3 linked regions of the Struthio camelus genome follow. The main gene of each other region encodes a partner of the protein of the gene in region 3 in a complex. Links are inferred from orthologs where the notes say so. Each region holds a gene or a part of one and is shown on either strand. Other genes may lie near its edges. The genes, in order: BANF1, ZMPSTE24 and LMNA.

Evidence for each region.
Region 1: the proteins of LMNA (region 3) and BANF1 are in contact, whole or in part, in a crystal structure (PDB 6GHD), measured with the Homo sapiens proteins. The link is inferred for Struthio camelus from reciprocal best matches to the Homo sapiens genes LMNA and BANF1. Residues at the interface, in NP_001393912.1 of Homo sapiens: Ser431, Gln432, His433, Ala434, Arg435, Met540, Lys542; in NP_001137457.1 of Homo sapiens: Val11, Ala12, Glu13, Pro14, Glu83, Asp86, Ala87, Phe88.
Region 2: the proteins of LMNA (region 3) and ZMPSTE24 are in contact, whole or in part, in a crystal structure (PDB 2YPT), measured with the Homo sapiens proteins. The link is inferred for Struthio camelus from reciprocal best matches to the Homo sapiens genes LMNA and ZMPSTE24. Residues at the interface, in NP_001393912.1 of Homo sapiens: Cys661, Ser662, Ile663, Met664; in NP_005848.2 of Homo sapiens: Ser264, Asn265, Ala266, Tyr267, Phe268, Val332, His335, His339, Glu415, Leu438, Asn439, Asn442, His459, Arg465.

What each region holds. Positions count from the first base shown.
Region 1 is NC_090976.1:753,583-763,162, reverse strand, and holds the start of BANF1 (barrier-to-autointegration factor), read right to left. Parts: upstream 4,424-9,580; 5' UTR 4,140-4,423; intron 2,288-4,139; 5' UTR 2,277-2,287; coding exon 2,151-2,276; intron 334-2,150; coding exon 187-333; 3' UTR 1-186. Other genes in the region: probable RNA-binding protein EIF1AD, read left to right, coding at 4,636-4,722, 7,109-7,217, 7,681-7,789, 8,967-9,011. UniProt on the Homo sapiens protein: Non-specific DNA-binding protein that plays key roles in mitotic nuclear reassembly, chromatin organization, DNA damage response, gene expression and intrinsic immunity against foreign DNA.
Region 2 is NC_090964.1:2,378,552-2,388,676, reverse strand, and holds the start of ZMPSTE24 (CAAX prenyl protease 1 homolog), read right to left. Parts: upstream 4,124-10,125; 5' UTR 4,057-4,123; coding exon 3,940-4,056; intron 2,418-3,939; coding exon 2,271-2,417; intron 1-2,270. UniProt on the Homo sapiens protein: Transmembrane metalloprotease whose catalytic activity is critical for processing lamin A/LMNA on the inner nuclear membrane and clearing clogged translocons on the endoplasmic reticulum.
Region 3 is NC_090971.1:3,831,876-3,841,850, reverse strand, and holds the start of LMNA (lamin), read right to left. Parts: upstream 3,717-9,975; 5' UTR 3,598-3,716; coding exon 2,996-3,597; intron 1-2,995.

The sequences.
Region 1 (9,580 bases), on a different chromosome or scaffold from region 3:
GGTCCCCAATAACGTTTTGGGGCATCCCGTCTGCTCCGGAGAGGGACAGCGAGACTCCCAGAGTGGCTTTCGGGGAGATCTGCGGGCACCTGGGAGGAGGTTCGGGGGCCCCGGGGGGGAGGTTTGGGGGGGAGCCCCGGGGTGGGGGGGGCAGCAGGGGGGAGGTTTCGGGGGGCTTGGGGGGGCTCAGAGGAAGGCGTCGCACCACTCGCGCAGGCAGCCCGAGCAGTCGCGCGACTGCTTGGCGTTGGCGCCGCACGTGTCCTTGAGCCACTCGCGGAAAAGCTCCTCGTCCTTCTTGAGCACCAGGAACTGGCCCAGCACCACGTAGGCCTGGCGGGGGGGGGACAGGCGTCACGGGCGGGGGGCACCCTGCCTCTTGGGGACACCCTGGGGACACCCCCTGGGGACACCCCGGCGTGCTAGGGACACCTTGACACCCCTTGGGGACACCCCGACACCCCCTGGGGACACCCCGACACCTCCTGGGGACACCCCGACATGCTAGGGACACTTTGACACCCCCTGGGGACACCCCGACACCCCCTGGGGACACCCCGGCATGCTAGGGACACCTTGACACCCCCTGGGGACACCCTGACACCCCCTGGGGACACCCTGGGGACACCCTGACACCCCTGGGGACACCCCGACACCCCCTGGGGACACCCCGGCATGCTAGGGACACTTAAACACCCCCTGGGGACACCCCGACACCCCCTGGGGACACCCCGGCATGCTAGGGACACTTCGACACCCCCTGGGGACACCCTGGGGACACCCCGGCACGCTAGGAACACTTTGACACCCCCTGGGGACACCCCAACACGCTAGGGACACCCCGACACCCCCTGGGGACACCGCCTGGGGACACCCTGACATGCTAGGGACACCTCAACACCCCCTGGGGACACCCTGACACGCTAGGGACACCCCGACACCCCCTGGGAACACCCCGACGCCCCCCCCAGGGACACCCTGACACCCCAAAGACATCTTGGGGACACCCTGACAGCCCCCAGGGACACCCTGGGGACCCTCTGACGCTCAGGACACCCCTCCGCGCCTCGCGCGTCCCCAATAGCAGCCAACGTCCCCCACTGGTGTCCCCAACCTCACCCCCCCCCACGTCTCTGCAATGTCCCCGATGTCCTCGCAGTGGCCCCGAGGGTGACCCCAGGGTGGCCCTGCGGTGTCCCCACCTCTGCGTCCCCACAGTGGCCCCAAGGGCGTCCCCGTGGTGTCCCCAGGGTGGCCCCGCGGTGTCCCCACCTTGTTGAAGTCCTTCTCCTCCAACTTCTTGCCCAGCACGTCCCCGATGCCGGCCAGCGTCCCCAGCGGTGTCCCCAACCCCACAGCCGCCCCCCACGGTCCCCGTGGTGTCCCCAGGGTGTCCCCGCGGTGTCCCCAGGGTGTCCCCACCTTGTCGAAGCCCTTCTCCTCCAGCTTCTTGCCCAGCACGTCCCCGATGCCGGCCAGCGTCCCCAGCGGTGTCCCCAACCCCACAGCCACCCCCCACGGTCCCCGTGGTGTCCCCAGGGTGTCCCCGCGGTGTCCCCACCTTGTCGAAGCCCTTCTCCTCCAGCTTCTTGCCCAGCACGTCCCCGATGCCGGCCAGCGTCCCCAGCGGTGTCCCCAACCCCACAGCCGCCCCCCACGGTCCCCGTGGTGTCCCCAGGGTGTCCCCGCGGTGTCCCCAGGGCGTCCCCGCGGTGTCCCCACCTTGTCGAAGCCCTTCTCCTCCAGCTTCTTGCCCAGCACGTCCCCGATGCCGGCCAGCGTCCCCAGCGGTGTCCCCAACCCCACAGCCACCCCCCACGGTCCCCGTGGTGTCCCCAGGGTGTCCCCGCGGTGTCCCCACCTTGTCGAAGCCCTTCTCCTCCAGCTTCTTGCCCAGCACGTCCCCGATGCCGGCCAGCGTCCCCAGCGGTGTCCCCAACCCCACAGCCGCCCCCCACGGTCCCCGTGGTGTCCCCAGGGTGTCCCCGCGGTGTCCCCACCTTGTCGAAGCCCTTCTCCTCCAGCTTCTTGCCCAGCACGTCCCCGATGCCGGCCAGCGTCCCCAGCGGTGTCCCCAACCCCACAGCCACCCCCCACGGTCCCCGTGGTGTCCCCAGGGTGTCCCCGCGGTGTCCCCAGGGTGTCCCCACCTTGTCGAAGCCCTTCTCCTCCAGCTTCTTGCCCAGCACGTCCCCGATGCCGGCCAGCGTCCCCACCGGCTTCTCGCCCATGGGCTCCGCCACGAAGTCCCGGTGCTTCTGCGACGTCGAGGACATCTCGGCTCGCCCTGCCGGCGGGGGGGGGGACACAGACGGTGCCACCGCGTTGGGGACGGGGGGGGGGGGATGGGACGGCCCCCAGGAGCGACGGGGACAGACCGCGGGGGGGGGGGGGTGACGCGGGGACGCGGATGGTGACAGGGACCGGGCAGCTCGGGGGGGGGGGGGGGGACAATGTGGGGACAGCGGCAGCCCCGGGGGGGGGGACAAAGGTGCCCCCGGGGCTGGAGGAGGCAGCGTTGTCCCCTCTCCCCCCCCCCCACCCCGTGCAGGGGCCCAGGCGATCCTGACCCTCCCCCCCCCCAGCAGGGGCCCAGGCGATCCCGCCCCTCCCCCGGCTATAAATACCCCAGCGCAGCTGCAGCAGGGGCCCCGGGGGGGGGGCACAAACAGCCCCCCCCGAGACTCCCTGGGAGCCCCCCGAAACCCATGGGACCCCCCCAAGAGCCCCCTCAAGCCCCAGAGACCCCCCAAAGACCCCCAGAGCCCCCCCGGACCCATAGACACCCCAAAAACTGCCCTACAACCCCTCCAGCCCCACAGACCGCCCCCAAGAAGTCCCCCACAGCCCCATAGGCTTCCGCAATCACCATAGACCCCCACAGACCCCCCCAAAGACCCCCGAGAACCCCCTCCAGCCTCATAGACCCCCCCAAGAACCCCCCAGAGCCCCCTCAACCCCATAGATCCCCCTAAGGACCCCCCAGAGCCCCTTCCAGCCCCATTGACCCCCTAAAGACACCCCAGAGCCCCCTCAGCCCCACAGACCCCCCTAAGCACCGCCCAGAGCCTCCTCTAGCCCCATTGACCCCCCCCAAAAGACCACTCAGAGATTCCTCAGCCCCATAGACCCCCTCAAGGACCCTCCAGAGCCCCCTATAGCCCCACACCCCCCCAAGGACCCTCCAGAGCCCCCTACAGCCCCCCAGACCTCCCTAGGCACCCCCCAGAGCCCCCCAAAGCCCCATAGACCCCCCTAAGGACCCTCCAGAGCCCCCTCCAGCCCCATAGACCCCCCTAAGCACCCCCAGAGCCCCCTCAACCCCATAGAACCCCCCTAAGCACCCCCAGAGCCCCCTCAACCCCATAGACCCCCCCAAGAATCCCCCAGAGCCCCCTCAACCCCATAGAACCCCCCTAAGCACCCCCCAGGTCCCCCTCCAGCCCCATAGATCCCCCTAAGGACCCTCCAGAGCCCCCTCCAGCCCCATAGACCCCCCTAAGCACCCCCAGAGCCCCCTCAGCCCCATAGAACCCCCTAAGCACCCCCCAGGTCCCCCTCCAGCCCCATAGATCCCCCTAAGGACCCTCCAGAGCCCCCTCCAGCCCCATAGACCCCCCTAAGCACCCCCAGAGCCCCCTCAACCCCATAGAACCCCCTAAGCACCCCCCAGGTCCCCCTCCAGCCCCATAGATCCCCCTAAGGACCCTCCAGAGCCTCCTCCAGCCCCATAGACCCTCCCTAAGCACCCCCCAGAACCCCCCAAAGCCCCATAGACCCCCTAAGAACACCCCAGAGCCCCCTCAACCCCCATAGACCACCCCAAGGACCTCCCAGAGCTCTCTCAGCCCCATAGATCCCCCCAAGGACCCCTCAGAGCTCCCTCAGCCCCATTAGACCCCCCTAAGGACCCCCCAGAGCCCCCTACAGCCCCATAGACCCCCCCTAAGGACCCCCAGAGCCCCCTCAACCCCATAGACCCCCCCCAAAGACCCCCTAAGCTCCCTCAGCCCCATAGACCCCTCCAAGGACCCTCCAGAGCCCCCTACAGCCCCAGAGCCCTCCCCAGCTCCCCACACGCACCTCCCAAGCCCTAAAGACCCCCCCCAGGGAGCCTCCGGACCCCCCCCCGCCCTCACCGGCGCCGCCCGCCGCTGTCAACCGCCGCTCCCGCCCAACTGGCCGCTGCGCGCGCCTGCGCGCTGCCGTCACTTCCGGCCACGCCGGAAGTGCACCCGCCGCCGGCGACCGCTCTAGGCGCGCCCGGAAGCGACCATAGAGAGGCGGCGGCTGCCTAGCAACGCGGTCGCCGCGGGCGCTCTAGGGCGACGGCGCCGCGACTCTGTGGTGCGCGGCGCCGCTCTAGCCCGCGGGAGGTTCCCGCGGCGAGACGCAGCGGCCTGTCAGAAACCACCATAGAGAGGAGGACCGGGGGGGAGGAGCCGGTGTCTCCGGAAGTGACGCCAGAGGGCGGTGCACCCGGAAGTGGCGGACTCCCATGCGGTGAGAGGTGGGAAGCGGCGGGGCGCGGCGGGAGGGGGGCAGCCCGGACGCCTGGGCCCCCCCGCCGCTACTGGGGCGGGGGAGGGGGACAGAGGAGGGACCCAGGCGTCCCGGCGGGCCCAGGCGTCCGGCATGTCGCAGGCCACCAAGCGGAAGCACGTGGCGCGGGAGGTGCTGGACGAGCGGGTGGTGCCGTCGCCGCGACAGCGCATCGTGCGGGTGAGCGGGGGGGGGGGGGACCCGGGGGGACCCGGGGGGGTGGGGACACGGGGAGGGACACGGGGATCCGGGGGGACCCGGGGGGACATAGGGGGACCCGGGGGGTGAGGACACGGGGGGGGACACGGGGACCCGGGGGGACCCGGGGGGACATAGGGAGACCCGGGGGGGTGAGGACACGGGGGGGGACACGGGGACCCGGGGGGACATAGGGGGACCCGGGGGGTGAGGACACGGGGGGACCCAGGGCGACATAGGGGGACCTGGGGGGACACAGGGGGATGAGGACACGGGGGGGGACACGGTGGGACATAGGGGGACCCGGGGGGACCCGGGGGGACACGGGGGGGGTGAGGACATGGGGGGACACGGGGGGGGGGTGAGGACATGGGGGGACACCAGGGGACCCGGGGGGGTGGGGACACCGGAGGGACACGAGGGGACCTGGGGGGGACACGGTGGGACATAGGGGGACACGGGGGGGGACGGGGGGACCCGGGGGGTGAGGACACCAGGGGACCTGGGGGGACAGGGCGGGACATGGGGGGGGGTGAGGACATGGGGACGGACAAGGCGGGACGGGGGGGGACACGGCAGGATATGGGAGGATGAGGACACGAAGGGACACGGGAGGGGACACGGGGGGACCTGGGGCCACGGCAGGACACGGGGTGAGGACATGGGGGGACCCGGGGGGGGGGGACACGAGGGGACCCAGGGACATGGGGACACGGGGAGGATGGGGACACCTGGGGGGACCTGGGGTGGGGACACCCGGGGGGGGCCAGGGGGACCTGGGGGTGTTGGGGACACAGAGGAGCACACAAGGGGACATGGCAGGACACAGGGACACGGTGGGGGGACCCGGGGGGACATGGGGGGACACGGCATGGGGGACACGCAGGAGAACACAAGGGGACACAGGGACACGGGGGGGTGGGGACACGCAGCGGGGACACACGGGAGATGGGGAGACGGGGGGGGGTCTTGAGAGGGGACATGAGGGGACCTGGGGGGGGGAATGGGGGCACCTGGGGGGGGGGACACGAGGGGACCCGGGGATATTAGGGGACTTGGGGACACAAGAGGACCCAGGGATGTGGTAGAGCAACAAAAAGGACATGGGGACACTTGGGGGGGGGCACCTGGGGGCAGGGACACCGTGGGTGGGGGTTGGGGGGGGGACACAGGGACCCAGGAGAGTCAGGGGGACCCAGGGGGGACATGGGGGGGCACAGAGAGACATGGGGACAGGGACACCTTGGGCGGGGGGACACAGGGACCCAGGAGAGTCAGGGGGACCCAGGGGGGACGTGGGGGGGCACCCCAGGGACACCTGGGGGGGGGACACAGGGACCCAGGAGAGTCAGGGGGACCCAGGGGGGACATGGGGGGGCACAGAGAGACATGGGGACAGGGACACCTTGGGCGGGGGGACACAGGGACCCAGGAGAGTCAGGGGGACCCAGGGGGGACGTGGGGGGGCACCCCAGGGACACCTGGGGGGGGGGACACAGGGACCCAGGAGAGTCAGGGGGGACCCAGGGGGGACATGGGGGGCACGGAGAGACATGGGGACAGGGACACCTTGGGGGGGGGGACACAGGGACCCAGGAGAGTCAGGGGGGACCCAGGGGGGACATGGGGGGGCACAGAGAGACATGGGGACAGGGACACCTTGGGGGGGGGGGGGACACAGGGACCCAGGAGAGTCAGGGGGACCCGGGGGGGGCATGGGGGGCACGGAGAGACATGGGGACAAGGACACCTTGGGGGGGGGACACAGGGACCCAGGAGAGTCAGGGGGACCCAGAGGGAACATGGGGGGGGCACCCCAGGGACACCTGGGGGGGGGGGACACAGGGACCCAGGAGAGTCAGGGGGGACCCGGGGGGGACATGGGGGGCACGGAGAGACATGGGGACAGGGACACCTGGGGGGGGGGACACAGGGACCCAGGAGAGTCAGGGGGACCCGGGGGGGGCACAGAGAGACATGGGGACAAGGACACCTTGGGGGGGGACACAGGGACCCAGGAGAGTCAGGGGGACCCAGAGGGAACATGGGGGGGGCACCCCAGGGACACCTGGGGGGGGGACACAGGGACCCAGGAGAGTCAGGGGGGACCCGGGGGGGACATGGGGGGCACGGAGAGACATGGGGACAGGGACACCTGGGGGGGGGAACCCAGGGACCCAGGAGGGACGGGGACACCCAGGGGGGACATGGGGACACAGGGACATTTGGTGGTGGTGGGGAAAGACCACCTGGGGACACCCAGGGACATGGAGGAGGGGGCACAGGAGGGACAAGGGGCCACCCAGGGGACACGGAGGGGGTCTGGGGGACGCTGCGGTCCCCGACGTGTCCCCCCCCCCCTCCCCAGGTGCTGGGGACGCCGGGGAACAACCTGCACGAGGTGGAGACGGCCGAGGGCGCCCGCTTCCTCGTCAGCATGCCGCCCAAGTTCCGCCGCCACATCTGGATCAAGAGAGGTCCCCAACGCGTCCCCGACGCGTCCCCAACGCGTCCCCTCGCAGCCACCCGGCCCCCTACGCGCTCCCCGGCCCGGTCCCTTCGCGCCCGCGCAGCTCAACGCGGCCCTTCGCGCCCGCGCGCCTCCGCCGCTGCGTCCCCGCCGTGTCACCTCCCGCCCCGGGTGGCCCCGGCGTGTCCCCAAGGTGTCCCCTCCTGGCTCCGTCACCCGCCGCGGGTCACCTTGCGCTCCTCTGTCTCCAACGCGTCCCCAACGTATCTGCTCCTGCCGTGCCCCCCCCCGATACGTCCCCGACGCGTCCCCAGTGTGTCACCTCCTGGCTTTGTCACCGCGGCGCGTCCCCAAGGGATGCTGTCCTGGTCACGCCACCCCAGCGTGGTCCCGACGTGTCCCCCCAACGCCTCCCCTCGCGGCCCCGGCGTGTCCCCAACGTGTCCCCTCTTGCCCCCCCCCCCCCGCAGGTGACTTCCTGCTGGTGGACCCCATCGAGGAGGGCGAGAAGGTGAAGGCCGAGATGCGCCTCGTCCTCTTCCGCGACCACGTCCGCTTCCTGCAGCGCCAGGGGCTCTGGTACCTGCCCCCCCCCCCGGGACCCCCAACCCCCCTGGGGACCCCCCAAAACTTCTCAGTCACCCCCTAACCCCCCCCAGGACCCCCAACCCCCCTGGGGACCCCCCAAAACTTCTCAGTCACCCCCTAACCCCCCCCGGGACTTCTAAAATCCCTTGGGAATCTCCCAGACCTGCTAGGACCCCCCCAAGCCCTGCCCAGGACCCCCCAAACCTTCCTTAGGGATCCCCAAAACCTCTCAGGGACCCCTCCCCACACCCCCCCCCTCCAGGACCCCCAAAATCCCTTGGGAACCCCTCAAACCCCCTGGGACCCCCCAAGCCCTGCCCAGGACCCCCCAAACCTTCCTTAGGGATCCCCAAAACCTCTCAGGGTCCCCTCCCCAACACCCCCCCCCTCCAGGACCCCCAAAATCCCTTGGGAACCCCTCAAGCCCCTGGGACCCCCCCAAGCCCTGCCCAGGACCCCCCAAACCTTCCTTAGGCATCCCCAAAACCTCTCAGGGTCCCCTCCCCAACACCCCCCCCAGGACCCCCAAAATCCCTTGGGAACCCCTCAAACCCCCTGGGACCCCCCAACCCCTGCCCAGGACCCCCCAAACCCCTGGGACCCCCCAAGCCCTGCCCAGGACCCCCCAAACCTTCCTTAGGCATCCCCAAAACCTCTCAGGGTCCCCTCCCCAACACCCCCCCCAGGACCCCCAAAATCCCTTGGGAACCCCTCAAACCCCCTGGAACCCCCCAACCCCTGCCCAGGACCCCCCAAACCCCTGGGACCCCCCAAGCCCTGCCCAGGACCCCCCAAACCTTCCTTAGGCATCCCCAAAACCTCTCAGGGTCCCCTCCCCAACACCTCCTCCTCCAGGACCCCCAAAATCCCTTGGGAACCCCTCAAGCCCCTGGGACCCCCCAAGCCCTGCCCAGGACCCCCCAAACCTTCCTTAGGGATCCCCAAAACCTCTCAGGGACCCCTCCCCAACACCCCCCCCTCCAGGACCCCCAAATTCCCTTGGGAACCCCCCCAACCCTGCTCAGGGGGAACCCCCGAAATCAGCCTGGGGAGGCCCAGAATCCTCCTGGGGACCCCGAGAACCTCCAAAGTCACCCCAGAAGCCCCCCCAGGACACCCCAACCCCCCTCGGGACCCCCCTAATCCCTTTGTCTCCCCCCCCCCCCAGGCCTGAGGCCTTCACCCCCCGGGACGAACAGAGCCCCCAGCCAGGGTGAGTGGGGTATTAATGGGGGGGGGGGGGTATTAATGGGGTATTAATGGGGGGGGATTAATGGGGTATTACCCCGGGGTAACGTTAACGGGGGCAGTAACAGCGTGGCGCTAACGGGGGTAATAACGCGGCGCTGACGTGGGGTAACGTGAAGCGGGTGTTAACGGGGGCAACAACGGGGCATTAACACACGGCAACACCAGTGGGGGCGTTAACGGGGTACTAACACGGGAGTAACAACGGGTGTTAATACCCCCCCTTCGCGCTAGCCTGCGTTAACACCCTGCTGACACTGTTAGCGTTACTCTGCGTTAATACCCCGTCGCTACCGCCGTAACCACCCCGTCAACGCCGCCCTCCGTTAACACAGGCGGTAACGGGGTGGTTACAGGGGAGTAACGACGGGGTAGTAACAGGGTAACGTCACTGCAGCATGAACAGAGTATTAGTGTGAGTATTAACGGGGGGGGGGTGTTGGACCCCCACACGGGCGATAACAGCCGGGGGGGGTATTAGCATAGTAACAGGCGTTGGGAGTGTTAACATGCATGTCAACACGCGTGTTGGGC
Region 2 (10,125 bases), on a different chromosome or scaffold from region 3:
AGCATCATTCCACCCTGTCCACTAACCCACTGCTGTAGGACAGTGTAATTTCTCCAATGAAATACTGACTCCAGAGTCAGTCAAAAACATGGAGTCTTTCCAAATTTCACACAGAAATTGTCTACAGTTCTACTCAGTTCTACTGAGTATACCAAAAAGCCCAACAATGATAATACAAAAGTTGTAATGACAGGTGTCAGTACATGTTTATAAGTACACGTAATATGTACTTAGAAACGAAATGCAATAAAACGCAACATACAGGTTAGGACGCACAAAACCCATAGATCAGAAAATGCAAGAATTAAGACAGGTCACAATTCCTAAGTACTGCTTTTCTGTCATATAATTACATGACTTACACTATTTTAATATTTTCATTGTCTTTTAAAATTGACCTTTTTGCTGTCTTAAGGACATCACTGCAATAACATACTATACTCAGTAATTATATTTTTACAGTGCCAGGCATTTCAAGATTCCTTTTTCACCTAGTCGTGCTACTGATGAACAATATACTTCAGCAATAAGTCAGAAAAGGTTTCTCTTAAGACTATTTGTATATGGCACATATAAATACTTGTTCTAAGCTATGGTTCTATTTTTTCTTATATAGAAATTTTACTGCAGAGTATAACTGTTCTTACACTCAAGAAACATCTTTTGATACTTTTCCTGTTCTCACAGGTTTTCCTTTCTACCTTCTAGTTAAATGTCACCTAAAAAGAAAGAAGCTGCATCCCTTCAAACACAGAAAAAGTCTGTATTTCTAACCACTTAAAATAATTATAATGCTGCTTAATTATTTAGCAGTGGAAACGATAAAAGGTCAGCTGTGCCACTAATTTATAAAAATGTAATATACATTATAGCTGCACAGTGTGACACGACACTGCATTTCACTATTACTTCCATTTTATTGTGCATTTTTGGAGTATTTGACATGGTCTCACATTAGTATGTAGTACAATAAAATGCTTATAAAGAAGAATTTGCAGAATTTGCAGAACCTACTTAAGAAACAACACATAGTCCATCAGTGTCACTACATTTCATTTCACACATTTTCATTACGTTTCATTACATACCACAGAATCACAGAGTAGTTGCGATTCGAAGGAACCTCGTGGAGATCATCTAGTCCAACCCCCCTGCTCAAGCAGGGTCACCTAGAGCACGCTGCCCAGGACCACGTCCAGGCAGCTTTTGAATATTTCCAGAGAAGGATATTGCACAACCTCTCTGGGCAACCTGTCCCAGTGCTCAGTCACCCTCACAGTAAATAAGTTTTTCCTTCTGTTCAGACAGAACTTCCTCCATTTCAGTTTGTGCCTCTCGTCCTGTCACTGGATACCACTGAGAAGAGTCTGGCCCCATCCTCTTGGGCTTTCCTCAGATATTTAAACACACTGATAAGGTCCCCCCCGCAGCCTTCTCTTCCCCAGACTAAACAGCCCCAGCTCCCTCAGCTTTTCCTTACTCGAGAGATGCTCCAGTCCCTTCACCATCTTTGTAGCCCTTCGCTGGACTCGGCTCCAGGAGCTCCGTGCCTCTCTTGTACTGGGGAGCCCAGAACTGGACACAGTACTCCAGGTGGGGCCTCACCAGGGCTGAGGAGAGGGGCAGGATCACCTCCCTCCACCTGCTGGCAATGGTCTTCCGAATGCAGGCTGGGATCCCATTGGCCTTCTTGGCCACAAGGGCACATTGCTGGCTCAGGGTCAACTTGTTGTCCCCCAGGACTCCCAGATCCTTCTCTGCAGGGCTGCTTTCCAGCACATCACCCCGCAGCCTGTACTGGTGCCTGGAGTTATTCCTCTCCAGGGACAGGACCGTGCACTTCCCTTTATTGAACTTCGTGAGGTTACATATGCTTATTGCACATATCAACTTCAACTTTGGTCAGCTGTGGGAGTCAACTTTTCATATATCTTGTTTTCAAGATATTTTAAAATAAGACTAGCGATTATCAGTGTATTCATGCAGGCTGGGAACAGAGCAGAAAAGCAACAAATCCAGAAAGTAAGGGTTCCAAATCTTCCATTTGGACACGAGCACGCTATCTGAATAAAACTTTCTTTTATACGGCAAATACAGGCACAGACAAGAAATACAGAATCCTAAGCCTACCACATTACAGTGTTTGATGTAGTATGCCACAATGCTGGCAGTGCAGCTGCATAGGATCATTAAAAATCAAAAACTGAGTATTTCACAGGTGAACTGTATGAAAAATATAATATGAATACTGTAGCAGCTCATGTACTTACAGTGCCCTCAACCTCTGAATACAGCCCTGACCAAAAGCTGAAAGTGCTCTTGTCCAGCTGATATAGACGAGATTTTTCAAACGTTTCTGAATCCATGATCTGTCCTAATTCACATGGTACATGTGTTGTTGTTCTATACACCCGTCTCTGAAAAATAAGAAAAGAAACTTAGAAGTCCACATCCAATATTTTTAAGGGGAGAAATATGATTAACAAGTAACACATAACATGGACCCATGGGCCCCCACAGAAAGTTACAAAGTAACACACAACAAGTAAATAAATGTTTCTAAATTCTTTGCTTCTATGAAATTGCAAATATAAAACTGAAACAAGATTATTATGTTACAACCAGAAACTGAGTTGCTTACTTATTAATTTCTTTCTAATAAAAGAAGTTATTATATAAAGAGCACAGAAATTAGTTTTTTTCCCACAGGAGATAACTTACTGTGCTATGATTATGACTAAGTCAAGTTCCAGACTAAAGATCATATCCTCCCTTGTGAAGCATGAAACTTCACAGGAAAAAATATATTTATAATTTAGCTGCATAAATGAGGGGTTATTTCATTTTCAGTTGGAGAACTTCTCACCACTTTCTAATTTTAAAAGTTTAAAAGTCATTATTCCATTCACTGCCCTATCTTGTTTCAGTATTTTTATCTGTTCTTATCTTTATCCTTTCTTCTCTTCCTGAAGCTCCTACCCGCTCTGTCACCTCAAAATCCCTTTACTGGAATGGAGCATCTTGCTATGCTTCATCTCTACCAACCAACCAAGTGAAAAAGTGGACTTCTTTACAAGGAGCCTTCTCAAAAAGCCTGTGTTAAAAGCCTTCCTTGCATTTGCAGGTGCTTATCTAGCCCCAATAGCTGATGCTGCCCATAGTAATACCGGGTTGCAGCCTCACAGGGAGCTTAGCTGATCTAATTGCTCACTGCTGCCAAGGATAGGCAACACTGCTTCTTCCTCTCCTGGCAGTGTGACCCCCCCCAGCACTGTCACATCCTTCTGTGAACCCACTTAACTTGCTGAGGTGACAGCAAGTATCCCCATCATCCTGCAAAAACAAGGAGAGGATAATGTCTTCTTTCATATGAGCAAGTCAAGTCAGTTCACAAAGGACTCTGACACAGTCCAGAGCTAGGGCAGGTGCGACCATGACATCCGGCAGTGAGAGAGACAGGACTGCGCTACTGCAGATTTTATCAGCTCGCCGCCCCTGAATCCCCCCACCCTGGGGCTTCGTGATGGTCAGCCCAACGAGCGTACTGAATGATCTTTGCCCCGCACCGTGCCTGCACGATTCTTGTAATTTATACGTGAAAGTCAAATTTCACCTAGCAGACTGAAGGCAAGCAGGGGCTGACAGAACGCCCCCCAGTCCCACCCTGGCTTAGTCCGAGCCAGCGCTGCCTGCGCCAACTGTCCTGACTGGGGCAGAGCCGGGCGCTCCGCGGAGAGGCGCCAGCGCGGAGCCGGCCCCGGCCCCGGCCCCGGCCCCGGCCCCGGCCCGCCTTGGCCGCGCGGCTCCTCTCGCGGCCTCCGCCCCGCCGCCCCTCGCCGCCAGCCACGTGAGGGCGAGCCGCGGGCCCGCCCCAGCACGGCGCCCGGCGTGGCGGCTCCTCTGCCCCGCCAGGAAACCCCTTCCCCCGCTGCCGCCGACCTGCCGGTGCGCCAGAAAGGCCTCCCAGAGGTAGACGGCCCAGGAGAAGAGCAGCACGGAGCAGAAGATGCGCTTCTCGGCCGGCAGCTCGGCCCACAGCTCGCCGGACAGCGCCATGACCGGCCCGGCCAGGCCGCCTCTCCCGCGCTTCCTCCTTCCGCTGCGCGCGCTGCGGCGCCGCCTCGCGCCCGGAGGAGCTGGCGGCCGGCGGAGGCCGCGGCCGCGGCCGGGGGGAGGCTGTTTGCGCTCCGCGCTCAGCGGCAGCGAGCCCCTCTGACTGGGGGGCGGCGGCTGCGGCGCGACTCCGGGGACAGGCAGGGGCGAGGGCCCGCGGCGTGTCCGGGCCGCGGCGGCATGGCCGAGGGCAGGTCGGGCCCGCAGCGGCGGCGGCGGCCTCCTCACAGCGGCGCCAGGGCGAGCGGGGCTGGGGGGCGGGGAGGGAGGGCAAGGGCTGAGGAGAGAAAAGGAACAGAGAAGGCGCAGAGCTGGGGTAATTCACGCTCCCCCGTAGAAGGACAGCGCCGGAGCACCCTGTCAACCTGCTCCCCCTCAGGCATAGCTGTCCAGCGCCTCTGCCTTGCAACCAGGGCTCCTGCTCAGCCATAGGCTGGCCCGGGGGGCACCTCGCTCTGCCACCCTTTTTCCTTTGCCCTGGTTGTTTCTCAGAGGATAACAGGATGGTTTCCTTCGGGGGAAGCAGGTGGGGAGGTGGGTCATGGAGCAGGGGTGCAAGGAGGCAGCCAGTGATAAGCGGTGGTTGCAGCTGCCTTCCCAGAGGACTGGTAGAACTGTGTGGGGTATGTGTGGGGCTCATCAACTCAGGGAAGCAGCAGAGATACAAGGTGGCACCCCACGTACCAAGAAAGCAGGGTGACACAAGCCCACCACATCAGGTGCCTTGTCCTGGTCAGAACCCCTCAGGACCACGCCAATGGATGTACCTGTCATCTGCATTTGGAAACAGGAGCAGTGTAAGAAGAGGTTTGGCAAGCAAGTTCCCCTTGATAGTCTTGGGAAGAGCTCATTTTTCCAAGGAGCTTTCAAGTAGCCTGGTAGCAGTGGAGAGCTGGTAGTAGGATTGGGAGTCAGCAGCAGCACACAAGGTGGGGCACACAGCAGCATGTTTCAGTCTGCTGATGCTCAGGTGCAAAGATGCAGGGACTGAGCTGTGGATGCAGAGCAAACCATGGTTTCTATGCTCTCCAAAATGAGTCTCAAGCCCCACACAGAAACCCAACTGCAGCCCTGATCACAAGAAATTCTGGAGGCTGGCCAAGGCTGAAGGGGGTAGAGCAAAGAACATTAAAGTAGTACCAGAGCATGGACAAGACCAGCCAGCTGATGGTCAGTGATCCGTCCCAAAGGGAAAGGCCCTTCAAAAGTCCTGCCCAGCTTTGCAACCATTCTAGCACCCCAGTTTAACTCAGCAAAAAGGGATCAGTGGCAGAGAGGTATATATGCAGAGAGAGCAGCATGTCTGGGCCTGACTTCAACTGTGAAGCACAGCTCTTGATCCAGGTTGGAGGTAGCCACTGAGAAGGTTTCTTGGTGGGCCTCCGTGTGCAGCAGGTCTCGTGGGTCCTGAATCACAGAGAGAACATTGCCAGCGTACACCATCAGAATGCCTCTTGGTCCAGCTCTTGGAGCACCAACCCTGTCATCTTCCTCTAGAAGTGGTAGAGGAGTGGCTTGAGAGTGATGGAGTAGAGTTGGCTGGGCAAGGACAAGCTTAACACACCCTCCCAAGTGAAGCTTAGCAGCTAGGTCTGTACCCAGCTGAGCTTGCCCAAGCACTCTGCAGCAGTATACAGTGTCTGTAGGAACCCCAAAGAGTGGAGGTCAAAGCTACACACCCACAGTTTCCCCATGGGGTAGCTTTGATCCCTCCCAGTCAGGCACCTTCGAAACAAAGCAAAGAACAGAGTGACCCTACGTCCTGGGTGAAGCAACCCTCGACGAGATACAAGCTGTCCAAGATGCTCCAACCTCAGACCATCTAGGTCCGGTCAGGAGGGATCATGTTGCCTAGCATGGGTGCTAGTCACTGTGAGACAGCCTTCACAGTGATATTGTACTCTGTGCTGAGGAGCAACATTGGGTACCAGTCCTGTGGGGTGCAGAAATCCCCCTTCTTGGCACCAGTGATGCTCTATAAAGTGTAGTAAAATTCCATGTTAGTCCATTAATGTCTGGAGTGTTAGAAGGCATCTGAGGAAATCTGAGCTCTGCCATAGTGAGAGGGAGTTATACCTGTGGTGATCATTGGGGGCCTATTCCCACAGGCCTGGCAAGCGCTGGAATTGGTGGACTGAAGAGAGATGTCCACAAAAAATGCCTACTCGTTGTTTGCAATCTCCTCCAAAACCCTCAACATAGGTTAACCAGACCACAAGAAAAGCAACCACCAATTGGTGGAACCACACTTCTTCTAGGCCTGGTATCAGGGCATAGACATTAATCAGGTTAACAAGCAAGTCCTTCACACAGTCCTAAAGATGCAGCAGGTGATCTGGCACAACCTTGGCAACCCAAAGGACCATGGTGACCATCCTGCAGGAGCATGGCAGAATATCCTCCCTCCTGAAAGGAGGATTCCCCAAGGCTCCAGAGAAAACTCACCCTACAGTTTAGCAATGCTTATTCTGAGGTGTTTCTGAGGACTTCAGGGGCAGTGCTGCCACTTGTACCAGCAGGGGCATGGAGTGACTTGTACTCATTGCAGATGAGGAGAGGTATATAGTAGCTGTACGTTTTCTTCTTTACCTAGTTTTGCTCCTCCTGCAAATGTACAAATATGAAAACACTCAGTGTTTCTGGGTTTTATTATGACACATGCACATCTCTCCCAGTGAAATTGATATGACGCTCTATCCATTGTATTGCTGGCTTCAAATTCAGATCCGTTGGAATCACAACATATTTTTCCTGATGCTCTGTTTACCCAGCATGAATCTGAAATCCCACCCTGTCTCCCAAATGCTTTTTAGCTGGGTCCATCTGATAACACGCACACACACACGCACAAATTCTGCCACTCTTTCCTGTTTGGTAGTTCCTGCTGCTGCTACTCAGAAATCCTTATCTGTGGATAAGGATTATCTGCTACTCAGAAATCCTTATCCTTACATCTGCCATTCTTCCCAGTATCACATAACATGGGCTTACATGCTAGAGCTGAATCACCTTTCCCGAACAGGATAACCCTCTTTTTTTTTATTAATTCTCCCTCTTGCCTCCATGTTCAGTAGGAAAATCAAGAATTTCAGCAGAAGACCTTAGGTAAGCAAGGAGTTTCTTAGTGTTTCTTAGTGACCTAAGGAAGCATAGGAAGTAAAAGGAAGCATACAGGAAGTCAAACAAGGACAGGCAATAAAGGAGGTATTTAAAAACATTACTCAGGCATGTAGGGACAAAATCAGGATGGCCTAACACCAGCTGGAGCTAAAATCAATTAGGGACATTAGATGTAACAATAAAGGATTCTACTAGTATGCTAACTGCAAAAGGAAGTTTTGGGAAAACGTGGGTGTGTTGATCCATGAGGGATGATGATATGGAAAAGGCTGAAGTGCTCAGTATCTTGTTTTCTATCAGTTTTCACAAAGCCTGCTCCCTGATCTCTGCATCTACTGGCAGTTTGGGAAGGAAAGGGGCATCTGACAGTGGGGGAATAACAGGTTAGAGACTGTGCAGAGAAGCTGAATGTGTTCAGCTCCATGGGGCCAGATGGGAGTAAGCTGAGGGTGCTGAAAAAACCCAGCCCCTATCACTGTGAGGCCACAGTCTACCATACATGAAAAACGGTGGGGAGTGATCCTTGATGATTTGAAAAAGACAAATCTTTGGGTTAGACCCATCTTTGAAAAAGGCAAGAAAAACTTTGGCTGGAAAGTTCATAGCATCCTTTTGGAATCCATTTCTGAGCATGTGAAGGACAAGAAGGTAATCAGAAACAGCACAGACTTAATAAGCGCAAAACATACTTAACCAAGCTGATTACCTTCTGTGATGAAATGACTGGGCTATATGCACAGGGAGAGAGCAGTGAATATAATATACCTTGACTTTAATCTCCTATAGCATTCCCAGCCATATAGCTGGGTGAACAGTCCATAAGATATGTTGAAATTGTCTGGAGCACATGGCTTAAAGGATAGCGAGCAATAGCTTGACATCCAGCTGGCAGCCAGTAATGAGCAGAGTACCTCAGAGGTTGATACTGTGATAATTCATAGGATAACTCAGAGTGGAAGGGACCTCAGGAGGTCTCTAGTCCAAGCTCCTGCTTAGAGCTTTATCCAGTCTGGTCTCAAAAACCTCCAAGGATGGAACATCTTCATCAGTGACCTGGGTGATGACACCAAACGTGCCTTCAGCAAATGTGCAGGCAACACTAAACCAAATGGAGTGGCTGAAGTGGTAAATGACAGAACTTCAGTCTAGAGGGTCCTTGACAAACTTGAGATTTGGGCCAACAGAAACCTCATGGAGGGTCAATAATAGGAAATGTGCACAGTTCTTCACCTGAGGCAGAATGACTCCATGCACCGGTCCACGCTGACCAGGCTGTTGGAAAAGACCTGAAGCATCATGTTAGATGCCAGGTTGAATACAAGTCAACAATACACTCTGGTCTTGATTAAGGCTAACTACATCCTAGAGGGAGTGCAGCCAGTAGATTGAGACGATTTTATCCCCTTCTACCTAGTCCTGGGGATGGCACATGTTCTGGGTCCAGTTTTGGGCTCCCTTTCAAGAAGGATGGGGTCCAGTGAAAAGCTACAAAGACAGTACCTTTTGCTGAGTGTTCTCTCTGCAACATTCTGGGTATTGATGAACATGTCAAACAATACAGGCTCCTTTTTCATCCCCTGACGTACTCTGCTTGTTACTGTCTGCCAATTGCTCACTACTTTTTTGAGCACATGTTCTACAAGGAGAGGCTGAGGGAGCTGAGCTTGTTTTGTCTGGTAAAGAAAAGGCTAAGGAGCAAGCTCATAGCTACCTGCAACTATTTGAAAGGTAACTACAAGATGGTGAAGCCAAGCTTCTTGGTAACACCCAATGATGTAAGAAGGGGCCAGTGGCATGGGAGGCTCAGCCTGGGACAGGTCAGTAGGGAAGCGTGCGTAGAATCTCCATCCTTTGAAGTTTTCAAGATGTGCCTAGACAAAGCCATAGGTGCTCTAGTGTTGACAGTAGTTCTGCTCTGAGTGGGAGGTTGGACTAGAGCCTCTGCTGTTTCTATCCACACCCTTCGGCCCCTCCCTTATGCAACTTATGGTGCTCTTCTGACTCAACTTGGTAACTGGGCAGAAAGCTACTGACCATTTTGTCAGAGAGCAGAGAAAGAAACTTTCCTTTTCAAGAGCCTTCAGTGGCTAGATTGACTCCAGCCACATCACAGGACATCTGCTGGAAAGCCCTTGTCAATACCAAATCTATCACATGACTGTCACCTCTTTACCCCCTTGCTCTGTACCAGAGCTGTTCTCTGTTAAGTGTTTCTCCTTGCCTCAGAATAAACTCCTGACTTTCACACAGCTCCTTCGCTGTGATTTTAATATAGAGCCTGAAGAAAGATCCTATACTATTGGATACAATTCTCACTACTGAAATCAGCCACCTCCATCCAGTCCTTTCACAAGCTCGCAGAGATCTATTTCCTCACTGCTCCTACAGAAAAGCTGTCCCAGAACTGCTCTGTTCTAATAATTTGCAACTTGTTTCTGATTTCCAGTAAAGAGTTCCTGCTAATTTTCTCTTTGCCAATGTTCTTTGTGAGCTCAAATAGCTTTTTTGTAATATCTGAGAGGAAGATAGGAGGGGCACTCCTAACTGCATACATTTGCTAACCAATCCAAGAGCCATTAGTTTCCCTTCACACACTAGACTTTTCATCCCCCAGATACTGCAAACTGTACACAATCCGTGTCATCTTTCTTCAGTACAAGTGACCCAGACTGCACACAATAACAAAGATAAAGCTTCCCTATTATTTGACAGTGGTCTTTCACAGCAACACTAAAAATGAATTGCAAAAATTAACTTTGACAATTAAAATTGTCCAAAGTAGTATTTGACCATTTTTCTCCTCTGGAATATATTGCAGGCTGCCCCTTAACTGTCTCCTAACAGCTGCTTTTTTTTTTTTCCCTTGCAATGCAGTATTGTTGCTTCAAATTT
Region 3 (9,975 bases):
GATGGGGAAACTGAGGCACGGAGGCTCCAGCCTGCAGAGGCGGCGGCAGCGCCGGCGGCAGGAAGGAAGGGGCAGCGAGCGGCATCATCGCCGGAGCCGCGCCGGGGACAGAGCATCGCCAAGCTGCTGTTCAACGAAACCCCAACGCCGGGGCAGCGCCGGGGCCCGGCGCGCCCTCGTTTTGCAGCGCCGACGCCTCTAACGCGGCAGCCCTGGACGTTAAGCAGGGTAAAGTGCAGGCTGTCGGGCGCCCGCCGCTGCTGTTAGCGGACTTTGGCCTCGCCGCTATCGCGCTTCTGGGCTCTGAACAGCTCCCGCCGCCGCAGCCCCGGCGGCCTGAGCCGCGGCACCGCGGCCCGACGGAGCCGGCGCAGGTGGGCGCCCGGCCCCGAGGCTGCACGTGATGGGCGTCGGGGTGGGGGGGGGAGGGGTCCAGCAACGAGAGGTGCAAACGGGGTGGGAAAAGCGTTTCTTGCAGGGACGGCCCCGTCCCGGCTGCTCCCCGCAGCACCCCGAGGCTTGGCGGCGGGATGCCGCCGTCCTCGCCAACGGGCGTCGAGGGAGCGCCTCCGAGCCACGGGGCTTTTCCCGCCGGGAAGGGCGAGCGTGCACCCACCGCCTCGGCGAGCTGCATACCGGCGACGGCGAGGGGAAATAAATCCGTCCTGGCTGCCGGATGCTCCAGGGCCGTGGGGGTAAAGGGGGTCCGCGAGGCGTCGGGCACCGCGGGGTCCCGGCCCAGCCCGGCGTCGCCCGCCGCCTTGCACAATCCGCTCTTTGTTCGCTCTCAAAGGGCGGATCCTTCCCCCAGCCAAACTGTTTTTCCCCCCCACCCTCCCCCGGGGAAAAATTTCCATGGGACCGGAGCGGGGACGCATCGGGAGGTGGAGGGACCATCCGGCTGGTTGAAGGTTTCCCCCCCTCCCGTGCAAAACGCCGCAGCGGAGCAAAATCCACCCGTGCGGGAATGAGATCTGGGCCCTGGGGAGGAAGAGGCGATGCCAAGCCGCCGGCTTAATCGGGTTAGGGGCTGCAGTTCAGGAAGCCGTCGCTCATCAGACGAGCTGCTAACTGGAGCCTGGTTCCTGTTTCGGCCGAGCCAGCCGGGAACGACCCCTCGCCGGCCCCGGCGGGATGCTCCGGGGGTCCCTTTGGGGCAAAACACACCAGGAGGGGGGCCGGGGGCAGAGCCGGAGCCTGCTCCGTGCACGGAGCGGCTCTTGCACCGGCACGCTGCCGTGCAGCCCGTCCCGCCGCCGTCACCGCCATGCAGCCGGCGCCCCTCTGGCCCCGGCGGGCGGGTGCCGTGCCGGCCGCGAGCCCCCCGCCCTGCCTCCTGCACCGCCGAGACAACCGGCGGCCCCGCGGCGGGCGCAGCGCTGCCGGCCGCTGATAACGCCCGGCCGGAGCCGCCTGCCGCCCGGGAGATACCCGGCGCGCTTCCGCCCGGGGTCGAGGCGTTGCAGGGGAGGTGGGGAGGGGGGGAAAAACGCGGCGGCCGGGATGTTTTTGCAAGTTATTTATGAGCTGGGCGAGGTGTTAGCGCCCGGCGCTGACCCAGGGCTTCGGGAGAGCCGGCAGGACCGGTAGGGCCCAGCCCGGCCGGATGGGAGAGGCGAGAGCGGCGCCCGGCCCCCTCCGCCGACGCCACCAGCGCCGGGCTGCGCCCGCAGCTCCCCTCCCTGTTTACCGACGCGCGTTCGACGGCCGAAAGGGTTCGGGCAACGGCGCCGAGCCGCGGCGGCCCGTTCGCGCCCCTCTGCCCCGGCCGAGCCCCCCTTCCTGCGCGATCGAAGGGGCGTCCGCCGGCCTTAGGGGACAACCGCGACGCGGGAGCGGGGAAAAGCCGTACGGTTTTTGCAAACGGCTCTGCTGTGCAAGGCCGGGCGCATATATATATATATATCTATCTTTTCCCCCCACCCCAGCCAGCGCGCAGCTCTCGAAAGATCCCGGCCGAGATAACTCGGCGTTTGCGTAAACCAGGCGTTGCCCGTCGCCTCGCCAGCTGCGGGAGGCGAGCCGGAGCGCGGCGCGGCCGGGATGCCGGCGGCGAGCCGAGCAGCGCCGCGGGCACGAGCCGGGGCGAGGGAAAACACAAAGCTAAATATAAAACGCCGCACGGTTTTGCAGAGACAGCTGCACAGGGCCGCGCAGTCGCTCGCTTCCCAGTAGGTAGGATTATTTATGGCGTGTTCCGAGCGAGTTAATTTTAGCCTCGTTAGTCCCTCGGACGGGGACTCAAAACGAGACAGCCAGCGTTCAGCTCGAGCCGGGAGGAAGAGGGGGAGACGCGCCCGCAGGTTTCTCGCCGCCGTTCCCCCGGGGGCATCGACGGACGGGCTGGCCGAGCCCCGCGCGGGCGCCCAGGCCGGGTACCGGGGAAGGGCAGGGGCGCCCGGCGGCGGGAGGGAAGGGACGCGGGCGCTGCCCGAGCATCTCCGCGGCGGTGGCAGTGGGGGGGGACCGGTCCGGCGCGGGCAGGGTTAAGGCGAGCAAAAGCAGAGCAGGTTCTTTAACAGCTGCCAAAGACAGCGGAGGAAAACAGGACGAGCCGGAGAGCTGCGTCGGCAGGACGGAGCCAGCTGGCTGGCACCGCTTCCCGGTTCGCGCCGGGCGGCGTTTAGGAATAGACGACGGATTCGGAGGGGCCGGAGCCCGGGGCTCGCGCCCCACGTCGCCCGGTCCCCGACCGAGGAGCTGAGGACGCCGCCGACCGGCTCTGCTTCCCCCCCCCGCCCGCCTCCCCCTCCAAGGGCACCCGGGCGAACATGGCGCCAGGGACGGGAGCCGGGAACGCCGGGAGAGCCGCCCCCGCCGCGGGCGCTCCTGCCCCGGCCGGGCCGCGGCTTTCCCCTTTCCCTGCCTCCTCCGCGCCGCTCCTTCCTCCCTCCCGGCTCCCGCGTCCTCGCCGCCTGCCAAGCGTGACGACAGCGGTCGTCCGGGCAGAGGCGGCGGTGGCATCGTCCCCCTCCGTCCCCGCTCCGGCACTCACCGAGCTTTCAGCTCCTTGTGCTCCTCCCGCACTTTGCTCAGCTCCAGCTGCAGCCGGGCTCTCTCCTTGGCCACCGAATCCAAGGTCTTGCGGGCGTCCGCCAGCTCCGACTCGTAGGCGGCCTTGATGCCCGAGACCTCGCGGCTCACCACCTCCTCGGACTCGGTGATGCGGAGCCGCAGGCCGGCGTTCTCCAGCTCCAGCGAGCGCACCTTGTCGATGTAGACGGCCAGGCGGTCGTTGAGCTCCTGCAGGTCCTCCTTCTCCTGCAGGCGGGTGATGCGGGTGGGCGACAGTGGCGTCCCCGCCGCCCCGCTGCGGGTGCTCCTCTTCTGCGAAGGCGTCGCCATGGCGGGGAGGGCGGGAGGGGGGGGGGGGAAACCCGGCGTCGAGGACACGGCACGCGTCCCAAGCGTCTCGGCTGCTCCGGGCTGCCCGAGTGACTTGCTTATATCCCAGCTGGGCTGCGCACTGCCAGGCGGAGCCGCGGCGAGGAGGAGGAGGAGGAGGAGGAGGGTGGAGTTATCGGCCAGCGGGGAGGAGATAGCCCCGCTTGCGTCAAGCGCCAGGGCCCCTTCCTTGGGAAAAGGCTGGGAAAGCATCCCTGGGAAAAGCGGGCCTGGGGACAGCCGGCCTCGGCCGCGGGGTGGGGGACGCTGCCGCCGCCACCGCTGCCCCACAGCGAGCTGGGTGCCAGCTCCCCCCCCCCGGCACCCAGAGCACCAGGGCACGGCAGACACAGAGCCCTGGGGCCCCAAAGCCAGCACCCCGGGGTCCCCCACGCTGCTGCAGCACCCCCAGACCTCCAAAGAGGGGGCTCAGTGCTCCCCCAGTTTCCCCAGCTCCTCCAGTCCCAGCACCAGCTTTGCCTGGTCCTCACGGTTCCTGCAGTCCTCAGCACTAGCTGCGCCCAGCTCCCAGTTGCCCCAGTTCTCCCCAGTACCAGCTGTGCCCAGTTTCTCAATTGCCCCCAGTCCCTGAGCCAGCTGCACCCAGTTTCCAGTTCCCCCAATTTCCAACACCAGCTGTGCCCAGTTGCCCCAGTTCTCCCAGTTCCCAGTGCCAGCCATTCCCCACTCCCCCAATTCCCAATCCCAGCCATTCCCCGTTCCCCCAGTTCCCGGGGCCAGCCGTCCCCCCACGTTTCTCCAGTTCCCAGCGCTGGTGATCCCAGTCGCCCCAGTTCTCCCAGTTCCCAGTCCCAGCCATTCCCCGTCCCCCCAGTTCCCGGGGCCAGCTTGGATGGGGACGGGGATGGGGACGGGGAGCCGGGCGGCGGGCGCCCGCCGCTCCCCCGGCGCGGTGCAAGGCGCTGCAGCGTGGCGCCCGCGGGGCGCAGCCCGGGCTCCCGTTGCAACGCAGCTGAACTGCCTCTAACGGGAGGGAAGCAAAGGCGCCGGCAGGCCGGGAATGACTCACGCAGCAACCGGAGCAACACACACACAAACACACACGCGCACGCACGCACACGCACACGCGTGCGCGCGCCGGCGGTGATTAATCCCCCGCCACCCCGCTCCTTGCACGGCAACGATGAGTCACGGCTGCCGGGGAGGAACGGCAGCCGGGGCGGGCGAGCGGGACGGCGAAAATCCAGCGGCCGGCTTTCAAAAAATCAGCAGCCCCGAGGCCGGCGAGGAAGGCGCCCGGGCGGAGGGCTGGCAGCGGGGCCTCGCCGTACCCCTTCCCCGTTCCCGCTCGCTGCGCGTCGGGCCGGCGAAGACCCCCGCGGAGCGGGGCGCGCGGTGCCGGGCCGGCGATGCCGTCCGCTGCCCGGCGCCGCAGCTGCCTCCCCGCTCCGGGGGCGCCTGCCCCGCTCGCTCCCTCCTCTTCCTCGCTGCATCGTGCGAGCTTTTCCCTCCCTCCCGCTGGTGCTTTTCCCTTCTCCGCCCTCGTTCTGCCTCGGCGCTCGTGCCCGGCTGCTTTTCCTCATCCCTTTCCCGGATCCGCCGGGTTGCCCGTCCGTCCCCGAGGGCCGATGCTCGCCGCCGCCGAAGGCGGGGTCTGGCCGCCGGCTCCGGCGCGCCGCCGCGGCCGAGCCAGCGCGCGGGGCACTGTGGGACGCCAACGGCCTCCTCCGCTCCGCAGCTTTGTTTTGTTTTGTTTTAAAGGAGAAAAAAAAAAAAAAAAGAAAAAGAAAAACCACGCCGGGCAGGAAGGGACAGCAGAAAAGCACTTTGCACCCTCCGCCGGCGGCGTGCATCGGCCGGCCGGGGGGGGTTAAAGCAGCCGTGCTTTAACACGGCAAAGCGCGTTTGGGAGCAAGGGACCGGCTTGAGCAATAGCTTAAAAATCACAGCTAAAGGTCACTGGCGCAGCCGGTCCCGGCAGCCCCCGGCGCAGGACCCCGCGGGCTGAGCACCCCCAGCAGCCACCGGCTCCGGCTGCTTCCCAGATGGCAGAGAGGCGTTTTTGTCATTTACGCAAGGCAGGAGGGGGGTTTAATTGGAACCAGCTGAGACGGGCGAAGCGGGGAGGACGGGCTGGGCCGGGCTCGGCCGCGCGCCTCCCTCCCCGGCTGGGGCACGGCGCAGGTCGGGGCGCAGCCCGGCGCTTGGGCCCCTCCAACGTGAATTCCTGCGGTTTGCACGAGCGAGCGCTCGGGGAGCGAAAGGCCGGGCTCCGTGGGCTTGCCGGCGCAGAGCGCGGGGGACCGGCGAGGGGCGACGGAGGGACGGGGAGGCTGCGCCCTTCGCGGAGACGCTCCCGTATCCTGCCCGGCCAGCTCCCGCGGTGACTCAGAAAGCAGAAAGCAGTCACATCCCTGGAATTTCAACCTCCTTTCAGCTTCCAAAGCTCTTTGGCCTGCAAAAAGCCCGGAAACGTCGGGTGCCTGCAAACGCCACAATGCAAACATACATGTGCACACGTGGCCAGCGATGAAGCGCGGCTGCTCCGAGGGCTGGGGGGCAGCGAGGGGAGCGGCGGGGACGGAGAGCGCGTCCGGGACAGGCGCTGCCGAGGGACGAGCCCTGCGGACGTCCCGCCACAGCCGCCCTCGCAGCCCAACCTTTCTCCTCCTCTCTCTCTCTCTCTCTCCGGTTTTGCTTCTTCCCGAGGATCCTGGGGTTTCATTTCCCAGGTTTTTACGCAGCCTGGGATCGTCTCCCGCTCTCGCAGGCCCGGAGCAACGCCGGACGGAGGCACCGTGATCCCACGGAGATGCCTTCCCGCTGTTGGGTGCTCCCCTGGCTCCTGGCCCCAGCCGGGGCGTTTCTCCAGCTGTTCCCTTTCCAAAGCAGGCACACCCTATCTCCAACACGGGGATTTTCCCTTTCCAACCCTCTCTGCTGCGCCGTTAACCCTACCTCCCCCAGGAGGGCAACATCCCGGCCCCCGAGCTTGCTCCCACGCGACGCCAGGGAGCGGAGAGCCGGCGGGCCGGCCATCCGCAGCAGGGCACGAAGCAGCGCGGTCCCGCCGCCCAAGGACGGAGGGCGCCGCGGTGGCAGACGCGTCCCCCGGCCGCCGTCCCGACCTGCCGCGTGGCACCCAGCGCCGGGCTGACCCGCGAGGCCCCGGCCGCTGGGGGCTTCCCCTCCTTCCCACCCACAGCCCACCCGCGTAAGGGGGTTTGTGCGTGCGCATAGAGGAGTTTTAATTAGCTAATAATCTTTAATAGGGTTTAATTGCCTTGTTATAAAAGGTAATTGCAGCAATACATCAATTAGAGCTGTAAAATTAATAGATTTACCAGTTGTATTTATTGAGAGAGCTGAAACTTGCAGCAAGCAGGAGCCAGGGCAGGGCCAACGATGCGCTCGGATGCGCCAGCAGGAAGGAGAGCCGCGAAGGGCGACGCGGAGCCATCCAGGAGGACTTCTGCCCGGGAACGGCGGGACACCCCGCGAGCGGCCCCGCGACGGGCCGCTGGGCGGTTAGAGCGGAGCCCACGGAGAGCCGGACGCGCCGGACAGGGCTGCGGAGCTGCAGACTGGGGCCCGCGGGGGTTCACGTCCGCCCGGGACGGCGGAGCGCGTCGCCTCCGAGCTCCCGGGACGCGAACGGCGGCGCTTGCTCAGGCTGGGGCAGACGCGCGCCCCGCAGCGACAGCCAAGGGGACGCCTGCGTCCCCCGGCAAGCCCCGTGCCTCGCTTTCGGGAGCACGAACGAACCCTGTCTGGGTGGCGGATGCGCTCTGGAGTAGCAAAAGCAATCCTAAAGTGCAAGCTCTGAAGCCCCCTTTGGCCGGGCTATAGCCGGGGGAGGCAGGGAGCACCCAGGGGTGCAGGGACTCGGGGCGCAGCAGAGAGGAGCACCCAGAGCACCAGGCAGGGCCGAAGGTGCCCCGGGCTTTCCTGCCCGCTCCACGCTCGCCGAACCCCGGAGCGCTGGTGCGGCGACGGGGCTGCCGAGCCGCGAGGATGCGGCCGCTCCAGGCAGCCCAGCGGGAAAAGCATCTGGCTGCTGGGCTGCCCTTCCCCGCCGCGGGCAGGGGTCGAAAGGAAAAGCGGCTCCAGCATCGCGCGGGCGCGTTGGGGATCGGGGCGGCGGAGGGGACCCCGGGCCCTCCTGCCCCCTCCCAGCGTTGCATCCTCTGCCCGCAGCCGCCGAGGGTCACTCCCGCGCGCGGGATCAGGCAGTTCGGCGTGCAGTCAGTAGCCCGAGCTACGCCCATGTGCACGTGCACCCTAAATACCCTGTTTCACTGCAACCGGTGAGTTTCTGAGTGCAAAATCCTGAGCGAGCCACGTTTTCTCCTCCCTGCCACCCCCCCAGCGCTGCTGGAGCCGGAGCGGGGGGGGGGGGGGGGGGTCGCGCTCGCATTTTAACGGACGTTTTTCCCTCTCTGGCTGCCCCGAGCGGGGAGCTCGGCGCAGGCAGGGAGAGCGCACACAATGAGCTGGCGCCAGCCCAGGCCGGCGTGGGGCAAAGGACGGCGGCGCGCGCGCACGCGCCGGCCCCCGGGACGTGCCCCGCGAAATGCCAGCTTGGGAGCGCCGCCGGGCTCCCCTTGGGCCGGCCGCCTCGCCGCAGCCTGGCTCTGCCCCGGCTCGGGGGGAGGCTGGAAGGAGTTCACATCCCTTGGCGCTCCCTTGCCCGGACACCTGGGGCAAACTAGGGGAACTTTAGGACTGCTCTAAATTAAACGTTTCTCGGCGCAGCGGGGAGCGGGGGGTCTCCCGCGTCGGGTGCTCCCCGGAGGCAGCAGCTCCCGGGGCCAGAGCACAGCTGGGAGGACCAGAGGCTTTGCAAGAAGAGAAGAGCTGCTAGCATGGATTTCGTTGCTCTGGTGGTATAAAAAGGCCTGGAAAACCACGTTCCTTACGATACGCCCCAGCAGGCTTGGGGCAGGGACGGGCTGGCTGCAAAGCAGGCTCTGGGCGTCGACGCCCCGGCGCTGGGGTGTCGCGGTCGGCGGCTCCCCGCGCGCTTCTCCTCCTTCTCGAGCTCCTGCAAGCCCGGACTTGAGCCGGGATGGCTCGCCGCCGCCGCCCAGCCCCAGGTAGCCCGCGGCGAGCGACGGATCCTGCGGCGGCCGCGCAGCCCAGGCCGCGGCTCGCGGAGGTTTCCCGCGGCACGCAAAACGCCGGAGCCTCCGGAGCGGCGGCCGGCCCTCGGGCGAGCGCCGCGGGCAGGATGCGGAGCTGCCAGCTCTCGTCCCCGGCCAGAGAAATCCCCGGCTGAGTCACCAGGGCGGCAGCTCATCGGCTTCCTTGCGGGGCAATGGAGGTGCCGAAGGGGATGTTTGTGCAGGACGGAGCTGGAGAAGATCCAGGACGTTCACGGTGCTCGGCCTCCCCCAGCGCCGTGCCAGGACGTGCGAAGGCCTGCAGGAAACATGGATAAAAGCCGTTGCGTCTCCAGGGCTCGCCAGCCTCGCTGCTGAGCCGGGAGCCTCCCCGGGGATCCTCGCCGGCTCCAACGCGCCGCATCCGTGGTGCTCCCAGCACCTTTTCCTTCGCGCCCGAGGAAGCCCGGAGGCGGGTGAAGACAGAATGGGCGACGGGGCCGTTTCTGCTGGGCGCCGGCTTAACTCCTGCGGTAAACCAGCAACGTGCTCGGGAAGGTCTCCGTCGCTCGGGGCTTTCGGGATCCCACGAGACAAATACCTCTGGGGACAGTTTCAGGATGAACTAATCCTGTCTCTAAAGACTCCTCTCCAGGGACTCTTCTAGCTCATCTTCTCTCCTACCGTTATATTTCACGTCGCCTGCACCTTAGCATCTTTGCTCTCGCTGCAGCGATTAAAACACCTGAGCCGGGCCGCCCTGCGAGGGAAAGCGGCCTCAGGGCATCGCTCGCTCGGTCCCGGGGCCGCGGCGCTCCCCGCGCTGTTCCCCTGGCCGGGTGCCACCGTCTCATAGCCGGGAACAGCTCCTTCCGGCGCTTCGTGGCCGTTCCCCGGAGCAGCCAGGGAAGGGGACCCGTCGCCAGATGCCGGCCCGCTCGGCCGAGAAAGCCCTGCGGGGGGGGACGGGGGGGGGTTTCCCGCGCTCCATCACCCAGCGCTGCCGCCCAGCCGCGCTGCCGGGGCGGGAGAGCGCAGGGGTGTGGGCTGGCTGCCTTTCCCATTTAGCACGCTTGCAAAAAAAAAGGGCCTAAAAATAGCGCCCAGCGGAAGCGCCGGGATAGTCCCGCCGACTAAAGGAGAAAAAGAAAGGGGCTCAGCCGCGGGAAGGAGGGGGGCAGCCCGCCGCGCGAAGCGGTGGCAAGCGGCGCGTAGAGGGCGGCGAGGTTGGGGCGCGGGGTTTCAGCCCTGTTCTTAGCTGGGTTGCGCCGAAAGAAAAGCTCGCCTGGCCCCCGCCAGAGCTAGAGCAGCCCCAAGGCTGCTCTGGGCGAGGACAGCTCTGCCCGGAGCTGAGCACGCAAACCGGCCCCGTGCTAGGGGGAGCGACGGGGGCTTTCTTAGGGCAGCGGGAGCTGGCAGCGAATAGATTAGCCTCAAAAGAAAACCGTGACGCAAAAGCGCCTGGTCTCGGTCTTGTCCCAGGCGGGCGGCGAGGCCGAGCAGCCGAACGGGCCTTCCCGTCCTCACT